Macaca fascicularis: one gene and its partner. The protein of the gene in region 2 binds, or shares a complex with, the protein of the main gene of each other region. Links are inferred from orthologs where the notes say so. Each region holds a gene or a part of one and is shown on either strand. Other genes may lie near its edges.

What was found. Proteins that work in one complex are often made in the same cells at the same time.
Region 1: the proteins of CD40 (region 2) and CD40LG are in contact, whole or in part, in a crystal structure (PDB 3QD6), measured with the Homo sapiens proteins. The link is inferred for Macaca fascicularis from reciprocal best matches to the Homo sapiens genes CD40 and CD40LG. Residues at the interface, in NP_001241.1 of Homo sapiens: Glu64, Ser65, Glu66, His76, Cys77, Gln79, Tyr82, Asp84, Asn86, Leu87, Trp109, Cys119; in NP_000065.1 of Homo sapiens: Ile127, Glu129, Ala130, Lys143, Gly144, Tyr145, Tyr146, Cys178, Pro217, Cys218, Gln220, Ser245, Gln246, Ser248, His249, Gly250, Thr251, Gly252.

What each region holds. Positions count from the first base shown.
Region 1 is NC_088395.1:142,789,456-142,795,681, reverse strand, and holds the start of CD40LG (CD40 ligand), read right to left. Parts: upstream 3,800-6,226; 5' UTR 3,733-3,799; coding exon 3,577-3,732; intron 1,727-3,576; coding exon 1,595-1,726; intron 1-1,594. UniProt on the Homo sapiens protein: Cytokine that acts as a ligand to CD40/TNFRSF5. Costimulates T-cell proliferation and cytokine production.
Region 2 is NC_088384.1:102,171,671-102,177,136, reverse strand, and holds part of CD40 (tumor necrosis factor receptor superfamily member 5), read right to left. Parts: intron 3,651-5,466; coding exon 3,572-3,650; intron 3,237-3,571; coding exon 3,111-3,236; intron 2,848-3,110; coding exon 2,701-2,847; intron 2,331-2,700; coding exon 2,237-2,330; intron 1-2,236.

The DNA of each region.
Region 1 (6,226 bases), on a different chromosome or scaffold from region 2:
TTTGGGAGCTTTACATACATATCCAACCCGAAATATTGACGTGAGGAATTGACAATTCACCCGTAAAAGTCTCTGTAAGAAACGAGGGGGACTGACAAGCCACTCTCACTGCCATTGGAGGGAACTGAAGGCTTATCACATAATTATAGAATGTCAGAGCTAGTAGTGCCCTTACAGATAATCTGTCTTCTCATGTTATAGATGACAAAACTGAGGCCCAGAAAGGTGAAGTTATTTACTCAAAGTCACACAGCCAAGCACATTCAGTCTGTTATTTGGATTATTAACCATTGTTTTGAAAGTGCCTTTATTCACATTTAATCTCATAACACCTTCCAATACTCTGTAATACTGGCCCAAATCCTCGAAGAACCGAAGAAACTCAAATCGTTTTCCTAGCTGGCCAGTCTTGCAAAGAAAGGGTTTAGGAGTTTCATCTACAGCCTAGATTAGTGTAAAGAACCTGAAGGCGAGCAGTGGATTTGAGCTGCATTCTGATCTCCGTAGGTGACTCAGGAATAAGCTGTTAGAGTCTTCACTAATGAATTAAAATGACACCTCGGTAACAGTACAGGAGGGCAGGAATAAGATCAGAAATAAGATCTTAAACATTTCACACCTGCATTAAATTACACATAATCTATATGTGAGAACTAACTCCTGTTGGTTTACCCAGATACCCACCCATCTGGCCCAGAACTGTCGTCAATGTGAAGTGCTGCCTCCTAGAAATGACCCCTAAGTGAGCCGAGGCCCAAGGGTATTTGACTCAGTGTTCTGAGAGGGACATAGGCAGAAAGAACTCTTGATGTTCTGCCTCAGGAGAAAGAGCCTCTAGACCCCATGTCTGTGACGATGGAATTAATGTAAAGGTTGTAAAAATTCTTGTTTTAGGTATCTGTTATAAGCCACAGTCACTGCAGTGACTTCATGCTGGCTACCAGCCTGGTGGGCTAAAAGGCTTTGAACCCTCTGTGCCTCTGGTCATGACCAGTCATAGAGTGGGTGGGCTTCATGAGCAAGTGATATTATATAGAACCTGGTTTGAGCGGCACTGAGAATGTCTATTATTTACTCCCCGCACCTCTCTCCCCAGTAAAAGGGAAAGATCTTACTGTCAGGACATCTAAAATTCCATCATCAGAGAAGCACCACAGACTGTTACCAGTCTTCAGGAGTCCCTTCACTTGTGGCCTGCTGCCACGGCAGCTGTCGATGGCTATTGCTTCCCTAGGAAATGGGGATCAGACCATGGGTCCCCAGTGAGAGAGCATCAAGGTTTAGATGGGGAGACACAGAAATGCAAAAACCAAGCTTGGTGGACTTTATCATTTTGCCTAGTGGTAGCTGCATATGTAAGCTCACAAATATGTTTGACTGTGCCTCTAAGGGTGTGTTTTCCCCAGAGAGTGTCTTTTTTTTTTTTTTTTTTAACACACACACACACCCATGTATGAGTGTATATATGCATGTTTGTGTGTGCGTGTGTCTGTGTCTGTAACCAATCTTTAAACATTGGCATTGTCAGTTTCCCAATTTAGAAAATGTAGTAGAACATTTCAATGACACTTTTACCAGCAACTAAGCTCCTTACCTTCACGAAGCCTTCAAACTGGCTTTTAATCTCCTCACAGTTCAGTAAGGATAAGGATCTTTCTCCTGTGTTGCATCTCTGTATCGTTTTCATGAATACAAAATCTTCATGAAGATTCCTTTCATCTTCTATCTATTTTGAAATAACAAGGATATGATAAATGTCATTCAGAAGGAGAATACAGCTAATGATATCTGTCTCTACATTCATTTCCATGGCATCAACAAGAGGAGGACTTTCAGGCATAAATGGGGAATAATAAGTTATTATATTGGCTGATTGCTATTTTGTATTTGCAGTTTAAAAATCTATAAAAGCCAGCAATTAAGATGTCATGTTATCAGAAACTCCAGGTAGAAATCAGAGCTATTCTACTAAATGTTCATTACAAAATGCGTATTTTTTCAACATACTATAGCAGCAATATTCTGTAATTGTCACATTTCTCATTGCTTCAGTAATGATTGGTCATTATAAACATCAGCCTAGAAAATAGTTTTCTGCAGAGCTAATTTGCCCACTTCATTTTAGTGTTTGTGATGCAGTGCTTTATAAAAAGAAGTTAATTTGCAATGTGTCAGTTAATGAGTTCTAATTACATCTCTCTCCCTTTTAACTTTAGTATTTGTAGAAAACATTTGCATTTTTAAAGAAATCATCTTTTATCCTCAAAGTAACAAGATATTTTATTTTCCAATGTCTTAGAATAATTAAGTGTATAGAATTCACTTGCACTATCAACTAATTTTGCACCATTTTCTTGCTTTAAGAGTAGATTTTTTTAGATTCAAAACAAGATTCAGTTAGCTGGCAGCTTTTGCTGTCATTAAGAGCACATATAAATAATATGGTAAATATCAGTCCACCGAGGTCACTATTGAAGCTAGGTCTATGTCCAGACATTTGACTGACAGAGCACATCAGGCCAAACACAAATAACCAACCAGACCAGAAGCCCCCTCTTTTTTCAGCAGTGAAACCTAAAATTTGGATAACCCAGTGGATGACTTCAGCCCTCACTATCTCACTTTATCCTGATGGAAAAATCTCGTGACATTAATTCTAGGTCCAGATCCTAACAGAGGACACTCAAGTATCCCTGATAAAGTGCAATCATCCAGATGCTTTCTAGCCACAGTTCCTGCATCCAGAATTTTAGGAACAGCCAGAAAACTAATCAACTTTCTGCTTTACATCTATGATTGGTGTTTTGTCAACACCAGCCAATTATACTCCTCAGTGGAAGTGAAAAAATTCATGAAAACAAAATAAATCCTGATGGTTTTCTTTTCCTAAGAATGCAAAACAGCCTACTAAGTTACTCTGCTCTTTTGTTCCTGCAAGTCTAACCATTTAAAAATGTAAAACATCTCAGAGGGAAACTGAGCATCTTGCAACTACAATCAGTGTTTGCGAAGAATTACACAGAGAATGCTACTTTTACTAAAAGACTGCAAATTCTGGGACTTATCCATGTCTGTTAATCCGAAGCACTATGAAATTTTAGATCAAATTGACACTCTTCTTGCCTAGCTGGAAATTTAAAAGAAAAAAGTTGTCTCCATAAAATAATAGCTTACTTTTCAAGCAGAACTTTAGCAAATAATTATAGCTAGTGCGTACATAGTGCTTACTATGTATCAGACCCCCTTCTAAGCTCTTTACAAGGCTAAACTCACTTGATCTATGAAATGGACACCAATGCCATCCCCATTTCTCAGATATGGAAACTGAGGCACTTGCCCCAGGATAACAGAGATGGCATGGGCAGAGCCAAGATTTGAGCCCAGGCAGTCTGACTCCAGATCCCAAGATCCTAACCAGAGACAAGAATATGAGGCTTCATCGCTAGGCAACAAACATTATGCCACAAGACCATTCTTCTATTTGGTTTCTACCATCATCCATCATTTGGGTAGAACCAACCTATGAATTAGTAAGGACCCCAGATTTAGTTAATAAAGGCTTGTGGTTCATCTTACCTTGTCCAACCTTCTATGAAGATACACAGCAAAAAGTGCTGACCCAATCATCTGGGTGATAAGAAAAATAGTAAGTAAATACATAAAAATTTTCATTCTGACGGGCAGTCCAGTGGCCGCAGATCGGGGAGAAGGTTGGTTGTATGTTTCGATCATGCTGTGTTAAAGTTGAAATGGTATCTTCTGGCAGAGAAGGTGGCAGAGGCAGCATGAGAAGACTGTCAAAGTGGCCACCTTACTCAGGATTAGTTAAGAGCGCACAATCGTTGCAGCCCACACTTCCTGGAAAATGTGCTTCGTAGTCTTCTCTCCCAGCAAAAATGTTACGTAAAGGTTTTTTTTTTTTTTTTTTTTTTTAAATTATACCCATATCATTCACTTCCAGCCTTTCCTTTTTGTTAGTAAAGAAGAAACAAGTTTCTTCTTCCATATATTCATTCTTGCCTTGAAATGTCATAGACTTCTTAACAGACAATGGCAGTATTTTCCTATCACTGTCTAACTTTTTGGGTTCACCAGTTTCAAGGAAAGTGACAAATTCATCCACCAGCAATAGACTTATTTCAATTTCAATCTTACTAATATCAAGCGGGAACCTGGTATATGGGGAAAGAAACACATGTCAACAAAAGTTTGGATTGATTTTATGACTGGTGTCCCATCAACTAATTGCTTCTCAAAACTTTACTTCTTTAATCGCTAAACTCAATGAAAGCCTGGCAGGTTTTCAGGTCAAGTCTACATGGCATAAGGCAAAAAAAGGATGCTGATGGTTATTAAATAAAATGTAGCTGGAAAGATAATGCAAGAAAAATAAATTTCTTAAAGGCAAAGACAAGTAGGATCTTGAGGGAAATCAGGCCAAGACTCTGGAATTGAAGTTAAAGTAAAAATCGTGGCTTGATGTAGCTAAGTTGCCTGTGTACACCGTTCCAATCTATTAGATAACTTTTGATGCTGATGTAATGGTTCAGAATCGGGAAAATAGGCTGCAGTTAAGAGATCTGAATTCTAGTCTTTGCTCTACCAATAAATTGCTATGAGCCTTGGGCAAATCTCTTCATCTCTTTAGACCTCAGTTTCCTCATACCCAAAGGAGGCACTTGCACCTGTCTTGCTTATCCCATAGGTTGCTGTGAAGATCTAATAAAGAAGTGCATGGAAGAAATTTGAAACACGTTAAGCAATAAACAATTCTCATCCTGAATTTTTTGGAATTTATTTAGCCTAAGACATGAGTTTTACAAATAATTGCCAACTCCTTACATGTTGGTAAAAACCAAATGAACAATAACGATATTAAAAACACCTTAAGTTTTGACAATGAATTGAATCACTGAAGTGTGTAGGATTACACATTTCTGAAGGACTTTTGCATCATCTTATCAGATTTCCTTCAAACTAAAAGCAGCTGTGGAAATCCCTACCTCACATCCAAACCTGGTCTAGAAACCATGATAAAATTACTTTGATGATTCCTATAAAATTGTTTTGAGAGACAAATAGGAAATGTAAAAACTGCTCCGATAGGCATGCTATCTATATAGTTAGCACCTGCTTTCTTCCCCTCCCACGCCCCAGCATCCTGTCCTGGGCCCAGATCTATGTAGCTTTTCACTACATCTGCCAAGTAGGTGGCTTCAATGCACGTGATGAACTTTGATCAGTCAAGTCAGAGACTTCGGTTCTTAGACAAGTAACCTTAGTTCCACTGAAGGAAAATTATCATGAGAGCCAAAATGGGCTCAAGGACTTCTGCACTGACAGTTTTATACAACTTGAGAGTGCCAGAGCTGCAGGGGCCCTGCAATCAGCTCAGCCAAGACCCGAGGGAGGGGATGCTGAAGGAACCACAAAGATGCAGACAATGTCAGGATTTGTTCACGTGACCAACTTGAAAAAACAGTTGTTGTCCAACCTCCTTGCCTCAATTTCTTGATCCCCAGTCTCCTACAGTCTGACTTCTGCCCACAATATTCCCCTGAAATTGATCCCACAATTATTAGCTCAATAATAGTTTTGGCTGAATACTTCTTAGGGTTTATTTTTAGTGACCTTTCTATTACTCTGTTGACCTATTATCCTGTTGTCATCTTCCTGAATGCTCTCCCCGCTTGAATTCTATATCACCCCATTCTTAAGGGCTTCTGCCTCTCAAAATCCTTCTTCATGTTATCCTCTTTTCTCTTCATACCCCTTAAAACTTTGGTGTTCCTTCTCACTATTTCCTTTCTTTTTCCCTTCTCCTCTCCTCCCCTCTCTTCTTCTTCTCCATGGTTTCATTGGGTGATTCGTGGGTTTCATGAACTTTCATGGGTTTCAATCTCACCTTCATTGTGATAAATCTCAAATCTATAACTGAAGTCCTGAACTTCAGAGTTGTAAGCACAGTTGCCTCTGAAAATCTCTACTTGGGTATCCCAAAGCCATCTCACATTTGGTATGCTCCAAACTTAATTTATCTCCCCACTCTAATTCCAATCCAGACCTGTTCTCCCTTAAGGTTCTCCATATCTCTGTGAATGGTCCCACTACTCACCTAATTGCCCAAGTCAGAGATCTGGGATCCACTCATGATTCTTCACTCTCTTGCCCCAGATTGCCCCACTTCTAGTGGCTTCTTCCTCCGAAACCTTTGGTTGCCACCACT
Region 2 (5,466 bases):
AGGAGGAGAAATTACAGAAGAGTGGCCAGTCAGGAGGCACAGCAAGCATCTAGATATGAGATGATGAAGACCTGGTCCAGGTGGCCCCAGGAAGAGTAGAGCAGAATGGACACAGGACGTTGCAAAGGAAAAATCATCTAAGGTGGGAGAAAGAGAGAGAATCTTTGAAGAAAGCATATACTTTAGCCTTTTTTTAATTTTTATTTATTTATTTTTTGAGACGGAGTCTCGCTCTTTTGCCCGACTGGCTGGAATGCAGTGGCGCGATCTGGGCCTAACTGCAGCCTCCCAGGTTCAAGTGATTCTCCTGCGTCTGCCTCCCGAGTAGCTGGGACTACAGACGCACGCCACCATGCCCAGCTAATTTTTGTACTTTTAGTAGAGACAGGGTTTCACCATATTAGCCAGGATGGTCTCCATCTCTTGACCTCATGATCCGCCCGCCTGGCCTCCCAAAGTGCTGGGATTACAGGTGTGAGCCACCGTGCCCAGCCTACTTTAGTCTTACATGAGTAGAGCATTCAGGAGTTTACAATACACTTTACATGTTTTTAGCTCAAGCCTTGTGAAATGAAAGTCATTCTCATTTCCCAGATGAGGAGACTGAGGCTCCGTGAGGGTCACACACTTACTGAACTGTAATCAGATTTGTAAGCCAGTGTACTGGTTCCATTAATACTATACCACTGGGGCCCCCAGTTATCAGTCAACATTTATCAGTAAAAATTTGAGCACCTACTATGCATCAGGTACTGTTCTAGGAATAGGGGATGTATCAACGGAAGGAAAAAAAAAGGCCAAGTCTCTACATTTAAGGAATTTTCAATCTATTAGGGAAAGGCAGACAGTTAACAAATAAAATGTATATGGTATACTCCTATTTGTGCAAAAGTAAAAGGAGGGAGATTGTGTGTGTGTGTGTGTGTGTGTGTGTGTGTGTGTGTGTGTTGTGTGTTGGTTTGTTTATATGTAGAATCTCTGGAAGGATACGCAAGGAACAATGGCTCCCTCCAGAGATAACTGGGAAGCTAAGGGGCAGGGATGGGAGAAAGACATTGCTCTGGCTCTTTTGTGCCTTCTGTCCCATGTGCCTATCTTGCCCATTTTTAAAAATCAAATGCCAAAAGTTAATGGGGCAGGTGTTTGTTTTTTGAGACAGAATGTCGCTCTGTTGCCTAGGCTGGAGTGCAGTGGTGCTATCTCGGCTCACTGCAACCTCCACCTCCCGGGTTCAAGCGATTCTCCTGCCTCAGCCTGCCGAGTAGCTGGGATTACAGGCGCCCACCACCACACCCAGCTAATTTTTTCATATTTTTAGTAGAGATGGGTTTTCACCTTGTTGGGCTGGCTGGTCTTGAACTCCTGACCTCAAGTGATCCACCCACCTTGGCCTCCCAAAGTGCTGGGATTACAGGCGTGAGCCACCACACCTGGCTTGCCGCCCGTGTTTAAGGTATTCCAGGCAGATGAGTTTGACGGAAGAGAATGAACAGTGTGTTCAGAGGATTGCAAGTAGCATGAAGCTGTGCGATGCAGGAAAGAGATCAGGAATGCAGCAGGAAGGTCTGATGCCATGCTAAGGAGTCTTGGTTCCAACAGAAAGATAGGAAGCATCTCAAATAGGAGAGTGTTATGACCTGAAAGAAACTGTCGCACGTTCATGTTGGCAATAGGATGAAGAGAGAACCAGCTGGAGGGCAGAGAGCAGAAGCAGGGAGGCCAGGAGGCAGAAAAGGCATCACCCAGACCACAGTGATGAAGCCCAAACTAAAGTGACAACAGTGGAGACAGTGAGTATGTTCCCAAAACATGTAGACAGTCAGAGGGCAGGACCAGGTGTGGGTTTGGAGCTGGATATAAGAGAGGGAGGCCCTCAGGGTGAGCAGCTAGAGCCCAGAAAGCCCTAGAAAGCCAGGTAAGGTGAAAGCAAGAGGAGGAAAACTGAGGAGAAGCAGGAGGGGCAGAAGGAAAGCTAAGATAAGTGTCCCAATACTCCCAGAATAGGAGGCTCTCATGAAGCGAGAGGTCAACAGTGTCTATTACCTCAAAGAGAGAGCAGGCAAGAAAAATGTGGAAACGTGCCCATATGGTTGGCCATGAGGCCACTCTGCAGATGCTTCACAAGTGCATGAGTACGTGTGGACCTCTGGGAGCGGGGACAGGACAGGTGGCTGGAGAATGGAGGCAGCTCCATGCCACTCTTAGAGCAGGAAACACAAGCGATGAGTGCTTATACCTTGTCCAAGGGCGACACTTTTCAAAAGCAGATGACACATTGGAGAAGAAGCCGACCGGGCAGGGCTCACAGATGGTATCAGAAACCCCTGTAGCTGGGAGTGGGTGGGGAGGGGGACATTAACCATCACAGTGGACCACCTGTCAAGCTCACAAGGGAGCCAGTGGCCAGGCAGGACGGGAAGAGCTCCTGCCTTGAACACTCTTCCCCTGATGTGGTGCTGCCCCCAACAGCTGCAATCCCCAGGAGGATTTCTCCCATTGCCCTTCAAAGGCAGATGCCCATGGCAGGAGGAAGAATGAACAAGGTCCCATCTGCAGCTCACTCCAGTGGGGATGCCGACATAGGTTGGAGCCTCCGCTTCCTCTGCCTCTGGAGCTAAGTGCCCACTGCCCAGCCCCTCACCCTGGGCCCTAAGCTCCTCTGTCCCACCTCCAAAACTGATTCCCAGATGAGCCACTTACCAATCTGCTTGACCCCAAAGCCAGGCAAGCATGAGCGGTGCGGGACACAGCTCTCACAGGACTCACTCGTACAGTGCAGGCCTTCTTCACAGGTGCAGATGGTGTCTGTTTCTGAGGTGCCCTTCTGCTGGACCTGAAGCCCTAGGTCTGAGAAGAGAAGGGCAGGAAGGATGGGAACACCCCACTGGACCATAGTCTGAGCCTCACTCCCCACATTGCCTGCTCTTTCTTCCTCAGACCCTCTTCCAAGTAGAGATGGCAATCAAATCATTTAATGACCAGTACAAGCCGGACTCCAACCAATCAGAACAAACCCTGGCTACATAAAATTAGAATGGCTGCATTGTTGGGAATATCAGCTGCAATATCAACCCGGCTCCCAAGCGTCCCTTTCCCAACAGCCCACGCACTGGGGTCGCAGTATTTGTGCTGGTGGCAGCGTGTCTCTCTATTCCAGGTGTCTAGGAATTCGCTTTCACCGCAAGGAAGGCATTCTGTTTCGGTGAACTCTGTGCAGTCACTCACCAGTTTCTGTCCTGGAAAACATCAGGAAATGAGGGAGGGCTCTGGCCAACTCCATGAGTCAGACACTAACCACACAATGATCAGGCCAGGCTTTAGGGTAGGGGATTCAAAGATGAAAGTCTTGGACCCTTCATAGTCAGGCAAGGAAGATGGAGGAGCTGGGATCCCTAGTTCAGGGTAGACAGAGGTTTACCTGGTAGAGAGGGAACCCAGAACATTCTGACAGTGAAGCAGGACTGGGAAGTGGGTTGTTTCAGATTTGAGTTTACAGTTAACACATGGGGTCTGCGTCTGCCACCAAAGCAAAGGGGGGCTCCATGATGGGGCTAGAGGGTTGGCATCTCACCTGGCTGGCACAAAGAACAGCACTGACTGTTTATTAGGTACTGTTTTTCTCTGCATGCAGTGGGTGGTTCTGGATAGACCTAAAAACAGAATGGTGCAATTTGAAGGGATCTTGAAATCTCCGCTGTAGCCTCTTCAGCAGAAAGGTAAAAGTCATCCAGGACAGAGGCTGCAAACTGAAGTGCAAGTCAAAACAGAAAGTGGAATCTGCATGATATTTGGAATGTTTGTTTTCAAGTAAATTGCCTGATTATAATCGCACCCAGAGAATCATTTTGATATTTTACAAAGCAGTGGTACTGGAAACTCACACATTCTCTGAACTGAACAGAATTCCTTTGGGCTTGATGCCTGAGTCACTCCTCTTCCCAAAGATCCCATTGGATATGGGGACTCCAGCAGCTCCCCTGGAGTCCTGAAGCTAGGTGACTTCAGCTGGCCCTAGTGCTGTTTGGGGCTATGTTTAGCACTTGGCCTCTTCCTCCTATTCTTCTGCTTCCCTTCCTGCTCCTTTCCAAGACCCATCATGTTTTCTTCCTTCAACTCCTCATCATCTGCTCATCCAGCCCTTCCCTCATAAAATGCTAGAATGTAAAGCTGGAAGGGTAAACTCACACTCTTTCATTTTACAGATAGTTGAGACTGAGCACCAAAGAGGAGGGTCACTTGCCCAGAGTTTCACAGTGACAGAGTCCAAATGAGAACTCAAGTCTCAATGCTCCCTCTCTCCATCAATTTGTGTTTCATCTTCACCATTTTACTACATCCAGGTACCACCCATGCTATTAATTACTTCTTGTTAATTTCAATACTTTTATTTTCTTTTATTTTTTCAGACAGGGTCTCGCTCCATCACCCAGGCTGGAGTGCAATGGCACCATCTCAGCGCACTGCAACCTCTACCTCCCGGATTCAAGCAATTCTCCCGTCTAAGCCTCCTGAGTAGCGGGATTACAGGTGTGCACCACTATGCCTGGCTAATTTGTGTATTTTTAGTAGTGATGCGGTTTCACCAGGTTGACCAGGCTAATCTCAAACTCCTGACCTCAAGTGATCTGACTGCCTTGGCCTCCCAAAATGCTGGGATTACAGGCGTGAGCTACCATGCCTGGCCAGTACATTTACCTTAAATGTAAACCTTACATCATCGCCAAGAGACAAGAACCAGTATCACTTCTCATAAATAAAAGGTAACCCTAAAAATAAATTATGAGGAAGCAAAACAAGGTTATCAAACCCCAGCTGGTTGCTTTGCTTGCTGAAGGCCCTCCACCCCAGGCCTGCTCTTGATTTTTGTTTTAAAAGGAGGATTAGCAAGGCTTTGAGAGGCATTAACTCTATTCTAGCTCCAGAGACTTCCTCTTTGAAAAAATGAGAAAGATTTTTAAAAGAACTGTAAAGTGAGTATATGTTTAATTATATGTCCATGTGCTCCTTAAAATCGTCCCACACTTTGGGAACAGCCAGGGAAAAGAACACAAGTTTGAGAGTCAGACAGCTTTAGACTCCAGTCCTGACTTTGACTTTGTAACACTTTGTTATTTTGCTTCTCTTAGCCTCAGTTTCCCTGTCTCTAAAATGGGAGTAATAATGCCTGCCCTGCAGGTTGGACTGTGAAGATAAGAAAGAATACATGTATATGGCCTGGCACAGTGTCGGGAACATAGTAGGTGCTCATTAAACAGCAATTTTAATCATCATTCATTTGTATCTGCTTGCATGATATATGGCCAGCACCCCGGCTACCTGGCTGGCTGTTCAGAATCCTGCCTAACTGGTGGCTCTCATTCAACCTGGGTATCTCAGCAAATTACTTACAGAAATGTGTCTTACCCAAAATGGGAAAGGAAATAGAAAAAGCCACTGCCCCCCACCAGCTCATCGCAAGACACCATC